Linked DNA regions of Macaca mulatta. The protein of the gene in region 3 purifies or fractionates together with the protein of the main gene of each other region. This does not show direct contact. Links are inferred from orthologs where the notes say so. Each region holds a gene or a part of one and is shown on either strand. Other genes may lie near its edges.

Region 1 (3,500 bases), on a different chromosome or scaffold from region 3:
GAGTGCCTCCATTTCCCCGCCTGCCACACACAGACACCACGGGCACCAGCGAGATGGAAGGTGGCTGGCTCACACTGGCCACAGCACCTGGCACACACATGCCGTGGCCGCTGCTCCCTACTCTTCTGCCTAGGAGCCTCCTGGTTTCTCCTGATGCTGAAACTCCCACAGTTCCTCTCTCTCCCACTGGACCCCACAGAGAGCTACAGCCCAGATCCAGCCTATCCTGGAGGTCCAGTGAACCCTTCTTTGGCCCTCACTGTCACCTGGCACCGCTGTCCCCTGCTTTGATGAGGAGGCTGTGACCCTGAGACAGGTCTCCAAGCTTGTGGGAGGTCGCGCTGCTGGCAAGGACATGCCTAACGCCAGCTTTGGAGATGGCGGTTCCAGCTGTGCCCAGATCCACTCAGACACACTGAGCCTGCAGAAGGCGACTCACGGTCCTTCCGGGAGTTCTGGGTGTGGAACTGGAGGCACTCCCTGTCCCCAGCAGTACCACCCGGCTCTGCTTCAGTTTCCTCAGATGAGGAGGATGTGACTGCACTTCCTCCATGCAGCTCTGCCACCCTCATGTCTTCCTCCTCATCCTCAGCTGAGGCAGATGAAAGCCAGGTGCCACCTCCCACCTGGGAGCAGGGTCAGCTACAGGCCTGGTGCTGGGCAGTGCGGTGGCTGCCTGCTTTCCTATTACACTGTGCATGTTCCATCATTTTAAAAGAAACCCTTGGATGAGCGAGCTTTGTCCCGTCAGCTGACTCTCGCTGCTGAGAACAGACTGGGTTCTGGGACAGCCCCTGGCCTCTGTGATCGGGGCCTGTAGGCAATGCTCCCAGTACACAGGGTTCTTCACCACAATCTTACACGGTGGCCTACCTGGTCAGGACTTCTCTCCCCCACATTCCTGTGTGCATGCTGTCGTTCATCCAGACACTTGGCCAGATGCTGACACATGTGGGCAGTGGCGGTCAGCGTCCTCCGTAGCTGATGGGTCTCGTTGGCCAAGGAGCGGCACAGGATATCACTGGCGGCCCGGGCGCGCTCCCCTTCCGCCATGCTCCTCCGTAGCAGGACGACTTCCTTCTCTCGCTCGTGCTGGGGCTGGCTCAGTAGCTGCTGCATCTCCCTCTCTTTTTCTTCTAGTCGTTCAGTCAGCCTCTCAATTTCCTAAGTGGAAGATTTAAAAGCACAGTTTACTGAATTAAAAGAAGCAGTGTTGAGAGCAAATGTTCAGAAACCAAAAGGAGACCTGGCATGGATGCCCCAGCACCAGACACAAACACACTCACTCCAAAGTCGGGCATCTGAACTAACAATTACTCACTCAGAAGTCGGGCATTTGAACTATTAACTCTGGAGTTTTTCAGCCTACAATGTTCTGTTCTGAAACTTCATCTTAAAATTTTTTTTTTTTTTTTTTTTTTGAGACAGAGTCTCACTCTGTTGCTCAGGCTGGAGTGCAGTGGCATGATCTCGGTTCACTGCAACCTCCACCTCCCAGATCCAAGTGATTCTCCTGCCTCAGCCTCCACAGTAGCTGGAATTATAGGCGCCCACCACCACACCCGGCTAATTTTTGTATTTTTTTTTTTTTTGAGACAGAGTCTTGCTCTCACCCAGGCTGGAGTGCAGTGGCACAATCTCGGTTCACTGCAAGCTCCGCCTCCCAGGTTCACGCCTTTTTCCTGCCTCAGCCTCCCGAGTAGCTGAGACTACAGGTGCCCGCCACCATGCCCAGCTAATTTTTTGTACTTTTAGTAGAGATGGGGTTTTACTGTGTTAGCCAGGATGGTCTCGATCTCCTGACCTCGTGATCGACCCACCTCGGCCTCCCAAAGTGCTGGGATTACAGGCGTGAGCCACCGCGCCTGGCCCAATTTTTGTATTTTTAGTAGAGACAAGGTTTCACCATGTTGGCCAGGCTAGTCTTGAATTCCTGACCTCAGGTGATCTGCCCGCCTCGGCCTCCCAAAGTACTAGGATTATAGGCGTGAGCCACCATGCCCAGCCCTTTTTTTTTTTTGAGGCAGGGTCTCACTGTCACCCAGGCTAGAGTGCAGTGGCATAATCATGGCTCCCTGCAGCCTCGGCCTCCCCAGGCCCAAGCGATTCTCCATCCTAACCTGAGTAGCTGGGACTACAGCACGTGCCACTGTGCCTGGCTAACATTTTTGTATTTTGTAGAGACAGGGTTTTGCTGTGATGCTCAGGCTGGTCTTGAACTCCTGGACTCGAGCAATTCAGCCGCCCTGGCTTCCCAAAGTGCTGGGATGACAGTGTGGGCCACCGTACCCCGCCAAATTCTGTTTTCACAAGCAAGCACATCATTTTAGATTTCGTATCATCAAGATGTTGTTTTGAAATGAGGGTCTCGCTATATATAGCCCAGGCTGGTCTTCAACTCCTAGGCTCAGGCAAATCCCCCCACCCCAGCCTCCGGAATAGCTGGGACTACAGGCTCAAGCCACTACATGCAGTTTTCATCAAATTATCAAAGTGGCAATTCCAAGCACTTTTTTGATAGGAAAGGTAGAAACTCCACTGTAGTGGGCAACCCCCAAAAGATGTCCACAACCAAACCCCCCATTCCCCAGTATCTGGGAACGAAACCTTATTTAGAGATAGGGTCTTTGCAGATGTAATTAGTTAAGGTGAGGACAAACTGGATTAGGACGGGACTGGTGTCCTAAGAAGAAGACGGAAGTCTGGACAGACACACAGAAGGAGGCCATGTGACAACAAAGATATGAGTGACATCTTGTCTTGTAGATAAAGGCCAAGGAACACCAATGATTGGCGGCCCCCACAGGAAGCTGAAGAGGCGAGGAAGCGCGTTCTTCCCTAGGACCTTCAGAGAGAGCCGATGCCTTCGTTTCCGGCTTCTGGCCTCTAGAACTGTGAAAGATTACATTGCTGTTGGTGGAAGCTTACCCCTCCCCCCGCACCCCCCCCCCCCCGTTTGTGTTACTTTGTTACAGCAGCTCTAGGAAATTAACACACCCAACCCCAATTACTTCTTAAAGAAATGAAAAAGGTTCTTAAAATGACAATTTTTTTTGAGACAGGGGCTTGCCCTGTCACCCAGGCTGGAGTACAGTGGTGCCATCATGGTTCACTGCAGCCTCGACCTCCCAAGTTCAAGTGATCCCCTTGCCTCAGCACCCTAATGAGTTGGACAACAAGTGCAGGCCACTGTACCTAGCTAATTTCTCTATTTTTTGTAGAGACAAGGTTTCACCATGTTGCCCAGGCTGGTCCTGGACTTGAGTGATCTGCCTGCCTCAGCTTCCCAAAGTGCTGGGATTACAGGCAAGAGCCACCACATCTGACCTGACAATTTTTTAACACCTGGCCTTAAATTTGTGCTTTTCCATTTTCAAAGACTCCTCCAAAATAAACAGTACATTACATGAAGGAGGTGAAGCAGGCACAACTAGTCCATCCCACAAGTGAAGAAACAGTTTCAGAAAAGTCAGGGAGGAGCCCAAGCTTCCCCCAGAAGC
Region 2 (3,500 bases), on a different chromosome or scaffold from region 3:
GCGGGATAAGCCCCCTCCCGCCGACGGCACCTTCCCCCAGGTTGGGGCTCACCGGTTTGTCAAGGTCAGCTCCAGCATCTCGGAGCAGCCGAACCATCTCCACATCTTTGTGGATAACGGCCACATGGAGTGGGGTGTGGCCTGGGGACAGAGTGATTGGTGTCAGATGAGGTGAGGGGTCCCCCCTGTGCTTTGATCCTGAGGGAGGGTCACGTGGCCTGAGGGTGATCAGGTTTGGGGGCTGGTTCCTGAATTCGTGGGTATGGCAAAGAGGTACCTGGGTCCTGTCTTGGATGGCCTGAGCTTGCTGGCAAGTGCTAGGCCTGGGTTGTTCGAAGCCTGGGGCCCGTGGGTAAAGAGCCTGGGTTCTGTGGACAGGGGGTCTGGATTTTGGGGCCAGGTGTAGACCCAAGTCTCTGCTCTTACTTCACAAAGGACCTGAGCTGGCATGCTGGCTCACACCTGTAATCCCAGCACTTTGAGAGGCCAAAGCAAGAGGATCACTTGAGCCCAGGAGTTCAAGAAGCAGCCTGGGCAACATGGCAAGACCTCGTCTCTACTAAAAATAAAAAATAAAGGCTGGGCACGGTGGCTCACGCCTGTAATCCCAGCACTGTGGGAGGCCGAGGCAGGCAGATCATTTGAGGTCAGGAGTTCCAGACCAGCCTGGCCAACATGGTGAAACCCTGTCTCCACTAAAAATACAAAAATTAGCTGGGCCTGGTGGCACATGCCTGTAATCCCAGCTACTCAGGAGGCTGAGGCAGGAGAATGGTGTGAACCCGGGAGGCAGAGCTTGCAGTGAGCCGAGATAGCACCACTGCACTCCAGCCTTGGTGACAAGCAAAACTCCATCTCAAAGAAAAAAGAATAGGCCCGGCATGGTGGCTCACACTTATAATCCCAGCACTTTGGGAAGCTGAGGCGGGAGGATCACGAGGTCAGGAGACTGAGGCCATCCTAACATGGTGAAACCCCGTCTCTACTAAAAATACAAAAAAATAGGCCGGGCGCAGTGGCTCAAGCCTGTAATCCCAGCACTTTGGGAGGCCGAGACGGGCGGATCACGAGGTCAGGAGATCGAGACCATCCTGGCTAACACGGTGAAACCCTGTCTCTACTAAAAAAATACAAAAAACTAGCTGGGCATGGTGGCGGGCGCCTGTAGTTCCAGCTACTCGGGAGGCTGAGGCAGGAGAATGGCGTAAACTCGGGAGGCGGAGCTTGCAGTGAGCTGAGATCCAGCCACTGCACTCCAGCCTGGGCAACAGAGCGAGACTCTGTCTCAAAAAAAACAAAAAAACAAAAAAATAGCCAGGCGTGGTGGCACCAGGCATGGTGGCACATGCCTGTAGCCCCAGCTACTCAGGAGGCTGAGGCAAAAGAATCGCTTGAAACCGGGAGGCAGAGGTTGCAGTGAGCTAAGATCACACCACTGCACTCCAGCCTGGGCAATAGAGCAAGACTCCATCTCAAAAAAACAAACAAACAAAAAGAATAAACAATAAATAAAAAATTAGCCAAGTGTGGTGGTGCACACCTGTAGTCCTAGCTACTTGGAAGTCTGAGACCAGAGGATCATTTAAGTGCAGATCAAGGGTGCAGCACACTGTGATGGTGTCACTGCACTCCAGCCTGGGTGACAGTGAGATCATCTTTAAAACAAACTTAAATTGGCCGGGCACAGTGGCTCACGCCTGTAATCCCAGCACTTTGGGAGGCTGAAGCGGGCAGATCACGAGGTGAGGAGATCCAGACCATTCTGGCTAACATGATGAAACCCCGTCTCTACTAAAAATACAAAAAATTAGCTGGGTGTGGTAGTGGGCACCTGTAGTCCCAGCTACTCGGGAGGCTGAGGCAGGAGAATGGCATGAACCCGGGAGGTGGAGCTTGCAGTGAGCCAAGATAGCGCCACTGCCCTCCAGCCTGGGTGACAGAGCGAGACTCCATGTCAAAAAAAAAAAAAACCTTAAATTAAGGTTGCTGCCCAGGCACGGTGGCTCACACTTATAATCCCAGCACTTTGGGAGGCCGTGGCGGGCAGATCACCTGAGGCCAGGAGTTGAAGACCAGCCTGGTCAACATGGTAAAACCCCGTCTCCACTAAAAATACAAAAATAAGCTGGGCATGGTAGCATGTGCCTGTAATCCTTGTAATCCCAGCAACTCAGGAGGCTGAAGCAGGAGAATCACCTGAACCTGGGAGGTGGAGGTTGCAGTGAGCCAAGATGGCGCCACTGCACTCCAACCTGGGCAACAGAGCGAGACTCTATCTCAAAAAAAAAAAAAAAAAAAAAAAAAGGTACCAAGTAGCTGAAAAGCCTGTGACCTGGGGCTGAGAGGTAGGCCCTGAACACTGGGTCCTGAATGACCTCAGTCCATCTGAGGAGGGGTCTGGTCTCAGGTGGCTGGGCTTATAGGCAGGGAAACAGAAACTTGGATGTTAGGGCTGTGGGCAGATAAGCCCTTCTTCCCATGAGGCTAAGGAGGGCTGTCTCTGAACCCTGCTGCCCATCGCTGGGAACCTGGGGTGCCAGAGTTTCACAGAGGGCCTGAGCTCTGCATTCCCTGGTCCTGGGTGGGGTAGGGATCCCAGCTGCAATGCATTCTGCAGGTGGGGAGCCTGGGGGCCCAACAACTGGATCCTGGCAGCTCTGGGTCTGTGGGTGACAGGTCTGCATCCCAAGTGACCTGGGGCCTCCAGGTGGGGGTCCTGGGTCCTACATATCCAATTCTCAATCATCTGGACCCTGAGTGGAGGTCCCTGGTCCCAATGTCTGGGCTCCTGAAGCCTAGGTATGATTTCCCAAGGAGCTCGGTCTCGAATCAGGGAAGCTGAGCCCAGGGCCAGGTGCTCTCGCCTAGCCCGGGAGCTGAGTCCTTCCCTGATGATGCACGACCCTCACCCTCGTAGTTTTCAGCCTCCAGCTGCAGCTTCCAGTCCTCCTCACTCTCCTCTTCTTCCTTCTCCAAGTCGGAATCGGGGTACAAGGCGACAGGGGTGTGGTTGGTGTCGGGAGTATGGTCAGGGCCCTGAGCGAGGGAGGTGTCGGGGGCTTCCCTGGGGCGCCGGGGGCGGGGCTGAAGCAGGGCACGGGCACAGGCGTGTGCTCCCACACGGCAGGCCAGGTGCAGCGCCGTGTGGCCCCTACGCTCCGCCACGCACAGCCCGGCGCCTGCTGCATACAGCTTCTCCACCGTGGATGCCTCCCCCAGGATGGCTGCCAGGTGCAGGGCCGTCTGCAGAAGCAGAGGACAGGCGGTAGGGAGTCACACTGGGGACCCTGGACCCCAAGCCCTACACCATCCCCTCGTGGCTCACCTGGCCTAGGTCATTCTGCAGGTCCATGTACTCAGTACCAGCTGAGAAGCCTAGAAGAAAATCCAGGAAGGGTTCATGCTGATGAATCACGGCCAAGTGCAGTGCCCTGGGGACAAAGACCGGGGTCAGAGGGCAAAGTTCAAGTCCTCTTGCATTCCTTCATTCGACAAACATG
Region 3 (4,078 bases):
TTGCTTGTAAGATTATGATTTATGTTACTTTTACATCATGGCTATCACATAATCAACACTTATACCTATTTACATATGACATCTGGTGAGAAATGAAGAAATGCTCTTAAATGCTTTGTAATGAATAAAAGTACTTTTTGAGGTTTTAATACTACCTTACTACAAAGAGAATCTAAACTAGACAACGAAAAACTAAGCAATTTCTTTTTCTTTTTTTTTTGTGTGTGTCACTTTTCTGGTTAAATTGCTGTTTCAAAACAGAATAGGAATTTAGAATTTCATTACTGAATCTTTTTCTATCTCTAAGGTCTTTATAACAGATTAAGGAAAAGTACACAGATTCCTTTAAACATTTTCTTTTTTTTTTTTTTTTAATTCCAGGCTTGGCAGTTTTCTAACAACTGAATTACAATTTAAATAACTTGCTACATTTTAAATAGTGCCATTTTAATGCAACTCTTGAGAAAAGACCAAAAAAACAAAAAGTTAATCACCCTTCAACTTCTAAACCTTTAAAATTTTCTATTTCTTTAAACATTTCCTCCTTACTTTTAGGGAATCCTTCCTCCTCACAACAGCACAAAATACAGTGTCAATGAACAAATTTAAATTGTATTACATTTTAAAATCCTGTGGGTCTTAACAATACTCTATACAGAAATGGTTGTTTCCTCTCTCATTTGAAAAAATTGTAAGTATTACATTTATGCAATACATCAATAAAGTTTGATTAAATCGCCAAGAGGCTGAACTTAACTTACAATGCTAGGCATTCTTCATTACTTCCAAACAAAATCTTTCTGATAACCAATAAATTAACAAAACATTTGAAGTCATCTTAGCACTTCTAATCTACACATGCTTTGAATTCACAAATTTACAGGATTATCTGAAAGTCTGGTGTCACTTAAGTGGGAAAAGGGAAAGCTGAAATATTTTAAACTTCACTTAGTATTCTCACAACCACAGACAAACTGAAATCAAATGTCATGTGAAACACCCCAATTTCCTTTTCTGCCTACAGCAGTAGCTATGGCATTGTTCTGCTCAACCTTTTAGAAAGGTTCTTTAAACTTCCTACTTCCTCATCTCCACTAGACATCAACCAACTTCTGAGGGTCACTGGACCAGGCAGTTTTGGGATGCGAGTCAAGTTCATAAACGGTGCCCCGTCTTCACTCTCTTAGGTACAGCATTTAACATATGCATTTAGCCCTCCCTGCCTTTGCTCACGCTGCTTCCTCTGTCTGGAAAGCGCCCCCCACTCACCTTGGCAAAATCCTGGTAAAAGACCAACTCGAACCCAGGCTACTTAATTTCTCCCACCACCCCGGCTCTCCCGTCCCCCCAACCTTGAGCTCCAGGCACCCCGAAACCACGTCTGTGCATACAGGAGGCTCTTCCCTGCTCTGCAATGTTTCTTATAAATTTATTTCCCCCCAAAGGGAGAGATCGAGCATTTATTAAGGGAAAATATACAGTCAAATAAGTGATAAAGTTGTATTCACTACTACCCATTATTTTAAAGCACGGATATTCTAAAACTCCTCTTTCCCCTTATTTCCAGCGGGAAGGAAGGGGGATTCAACGTCTCTATTCGTCAGATTAGAAACTGTGTGCTTTATCTCACAGTAAAAATTACACACTCTATTTTTTTTTTTTTTAATAGAGACAGGGTCTCTGTCGCCCATGCTGGAGAGAAGGGGCGCGATCTTGGCTCACTGCAACCTCCACCTCGCCCAGGTTCGAGCGATTCTCCTGCCTCAGCCTTCCGAGTAGCTGGGATTACAGGCGTGCGCCACCACGCCAGACTAATTTTTGTATTTTCAGTAGAAACGGAGTTTCAAAATGTTCGCCAGGCTGGTCTCGAACTTCCGACCTCAGATGACCCGCCCGCCTCGGCCTCCCAAAGTGCTGGGATTACAGGCGTGAGCCACCGCGCCCGGCCTACACCTGGTCGATGCAACATTAACACTTAAAATACCACGGATTTTTAAATTCGTGTTAAAATACCACGAATGATTTTTAAAGCCGTGCAGCATTTTGTACAACTGTCAGTACAAGGGGGATCACCTCTTTGCATTTGACGAAATTAAAAAGGGGGAGAGAGCTTGCCCGAGGTTTGAAGGTTCCTCATTCTTGTTCTAAAACATAAAACCACCACTTCAATACATATCCATTTTTAACATGAGAACTCCTCGTCCTCCTTTAGTTCGCTTATGACTTCCCTAATCCTAAAATCAAGTCATTAGGAATTTATAAGTTTCCTGCTATGACAACAGGATCAAATTACAGACCGCGGCTTGGATTTTGCACGCAAGCCCTGAAACAGGTAACTTTTTTAAAAGCTGACAATTTTACCATATGAGATTTTAAAGACAGAACGCGCCCCAGCCAAAACTGAGCTCCCTAAACTCACAGCGGCAGGACCCCAAGAAAAGCTCCTTCCCCCCGGCCCAGGTCCCCGACCCGGAACACTCACCGGAGGCCATGGCTCCGTTCCCCGCACCTTCCCGCAGGCAGTTCCCGGCGTCCTGGCCAGAGGCGGCCGTGGTCAGTCAGTCAGTCAGTCAGGAGGCCGAGGGACCTCTGCCGGCGGGGCCCCCAGTCCCCCGACCACCCCAGGGTCCTCCTCCTTCTTCCCGCCCTCCGCTGGGTTTGCGGCTCACACCTTCCCACCCCCTGAATTCTTGCGCTCCGGGTCACCAGCGTCGCCCGTCCACCGTGCGGGAGCCAGGGGCAGGGGGCGCAGCAGGGCGAGAGCCGAGTGCCGGCCAGGCCGAGAGGCTGGCAGCCTGGCGGGAGGGGAATTTCCCGCGGCTGACGTAGGCCCGGCGCAGCCTTCAAGCCGGAGGCGTGGGGCGGGGCGTCCTAGCTGCCGTCGCGCGCGCGACCGCCCCCAGCGCCCCGCCCTGCCCGCCCCCGCTCACGCTCACCGTCCGCCCCGGCGCGTACGCCCCCGGCGCTGCTGCGGCGGCGGGCTTGGGAGGGGGTCGAGGGAGCGGGAGCTTGGGGTGGGCTTCGGGAGCACAGGGAACGGCGGCAGCCGGGAGGTCGCAGCGTGAGAAGGCCGCCGGCTCCCGCGAAATCCCCCTCCTCCAGGTTGTTCTTCCGAGTGTGGTTTAAAGTTCAGGAGCGGGCGGGGGGGTGCGGATGACGTAGAGAGGGCCGGCCGCCCGGGAGCTTTTAGGGGCGCGCCGGGCGGCCGAGCGGGGCCGACCCTCCAGGCCGGGGAGGGCGACGCCCGGGGTTTTCGAGAGGTGGTTCCCCCTCTTCCCGACTTCGCGCATGCAAATCTCCACCCCCGCGCCAGCGCGGAGGGGGAAGTGCGGCTGCGGCAGAGCCTGTCTTCTTCTATAATTCCTCTATTTGCATACGGGGACCCCCCCACCCGGCTGATTTTTTCCTCTTTCTATCTAAATTGCGAGGGTACTGTGAACTTTACGTCTTTTACCTACTGAAACCCGTTTAAACTCAAAAGGTCCGCACATCCAGGTCGTTGTCTCATTACGCAGTGCGCTGAAGTTTAGTGGACACTGTATCCTGAGATTTCACACAGATACCAAGAAAGGGGGAAATGGAGCAAACATTTAGTGCATTAAAGGACCTAGGATAACTTCGTTTCCTTCATTTGAATAGTACCTGCTATGCGTCAGATAATGTCTATACCTAATCTATGACGTATTTATTATTCCTAATTGTATAGATGAAGTATTCGGGGTTCAGAGAAGTTACTTCAATATACAGCACTTCCAAATGCTGGTAAGAAAAGGCACAGTTTAAAAAAGCCAGGGTTGTCTGACTCCAAAGCTCCATACCCTTGCCCCATCCCTTACTAGTTAAAATAAGTACGGAGAGGGAATGGGGAGTATCAGCCTGCCATACAAGTGCCCAAAACTGGGGGACCCAGGTGGGCAAATAATTAAAAATATCCCGCCAACTCCAAAGTATTCTTTCCACGAAATGCACAATGTACAACAAAAGAATGAAACAGTTTTATTATTGGATACGTACTAAAACATACCATGATGCACATCACAGGCAATCCGCTGAAGAGGGTGCAAAGACCAAAAAAAAA

Evidence for each region. The genes of interacting proteins can lie anywhere in the genome.
Region 1: the proteins of REL (region 3) and TNIP2 purify together in Homo sapiens (affinity purification with mass spectrometry; 3 studies listed by BioGRID and IntAct, counting the BioPlex papers as one, with this or other methods). This does not show direct contact. The link is inferred for Macaca mulatta from reciprocal best matches to the Homo sapiens genes REL and TNIP2.
Region 2: the proteins of REL (region 3) and NFKBIB purify together in Homo sapiens (affinity purification with mass spectrometry; 7 studies listed by BioGRID and IntAct, counting the BioPlex papers as one, with this or other methods). This does not show direct contact. The link is inferred for Macaca mulatta from reciprocal best matches to the Homo sapiens genes REL and NFKBIB.

What each region holds. Positions count from the first base shown.
Region 1 is NC_133410.1:2,892,562-2,896,061, forward strand, and holds part of TNIP2 (TNFAIP3-interacting protein 2), read right to left. Parts: intron 1,165-3,500; coding exon 874-1,164; intron 1-873. UniProt on the Homo sapiens protein: Inhibits NF-kappa-B activation by blocking the interaction of RIPK1 with its downstream effector NEMO/IKBKG.
Region 2 is NC_133424.1:50,002,191-50,005,690, reverse strand, and holds part of NFKBIB (NF-kappa-B inhibitor beta), read right to left. Parts: intron 3,432-3,500; coding exon 3,326-3,431; intron 3,244-3,325; coding exon 2,910-3,243; intron 142-2,909; coding exon 53-141; intron 1-52. UniProt on the Homo sapiens protein: Inhibits NF-kappa-B by complexing with and trapping it in the cytoplasm.
Region 3 is NC_133418.1:63,901,032-63,905,109, forward strand, and holds the start of REL (proto-oncogene c-Rel), read right to left. Parts: upstream 2,801-4,078; 5' UTR 2,493-2,800; coding exon 2,483-2,492; intron 2,333-2,482; exon of another isoform or gene 1-2,332. UniProt on the Homo sapiens protein: Proto-oncogene that may play a role in differentiation and lymphopoiesis.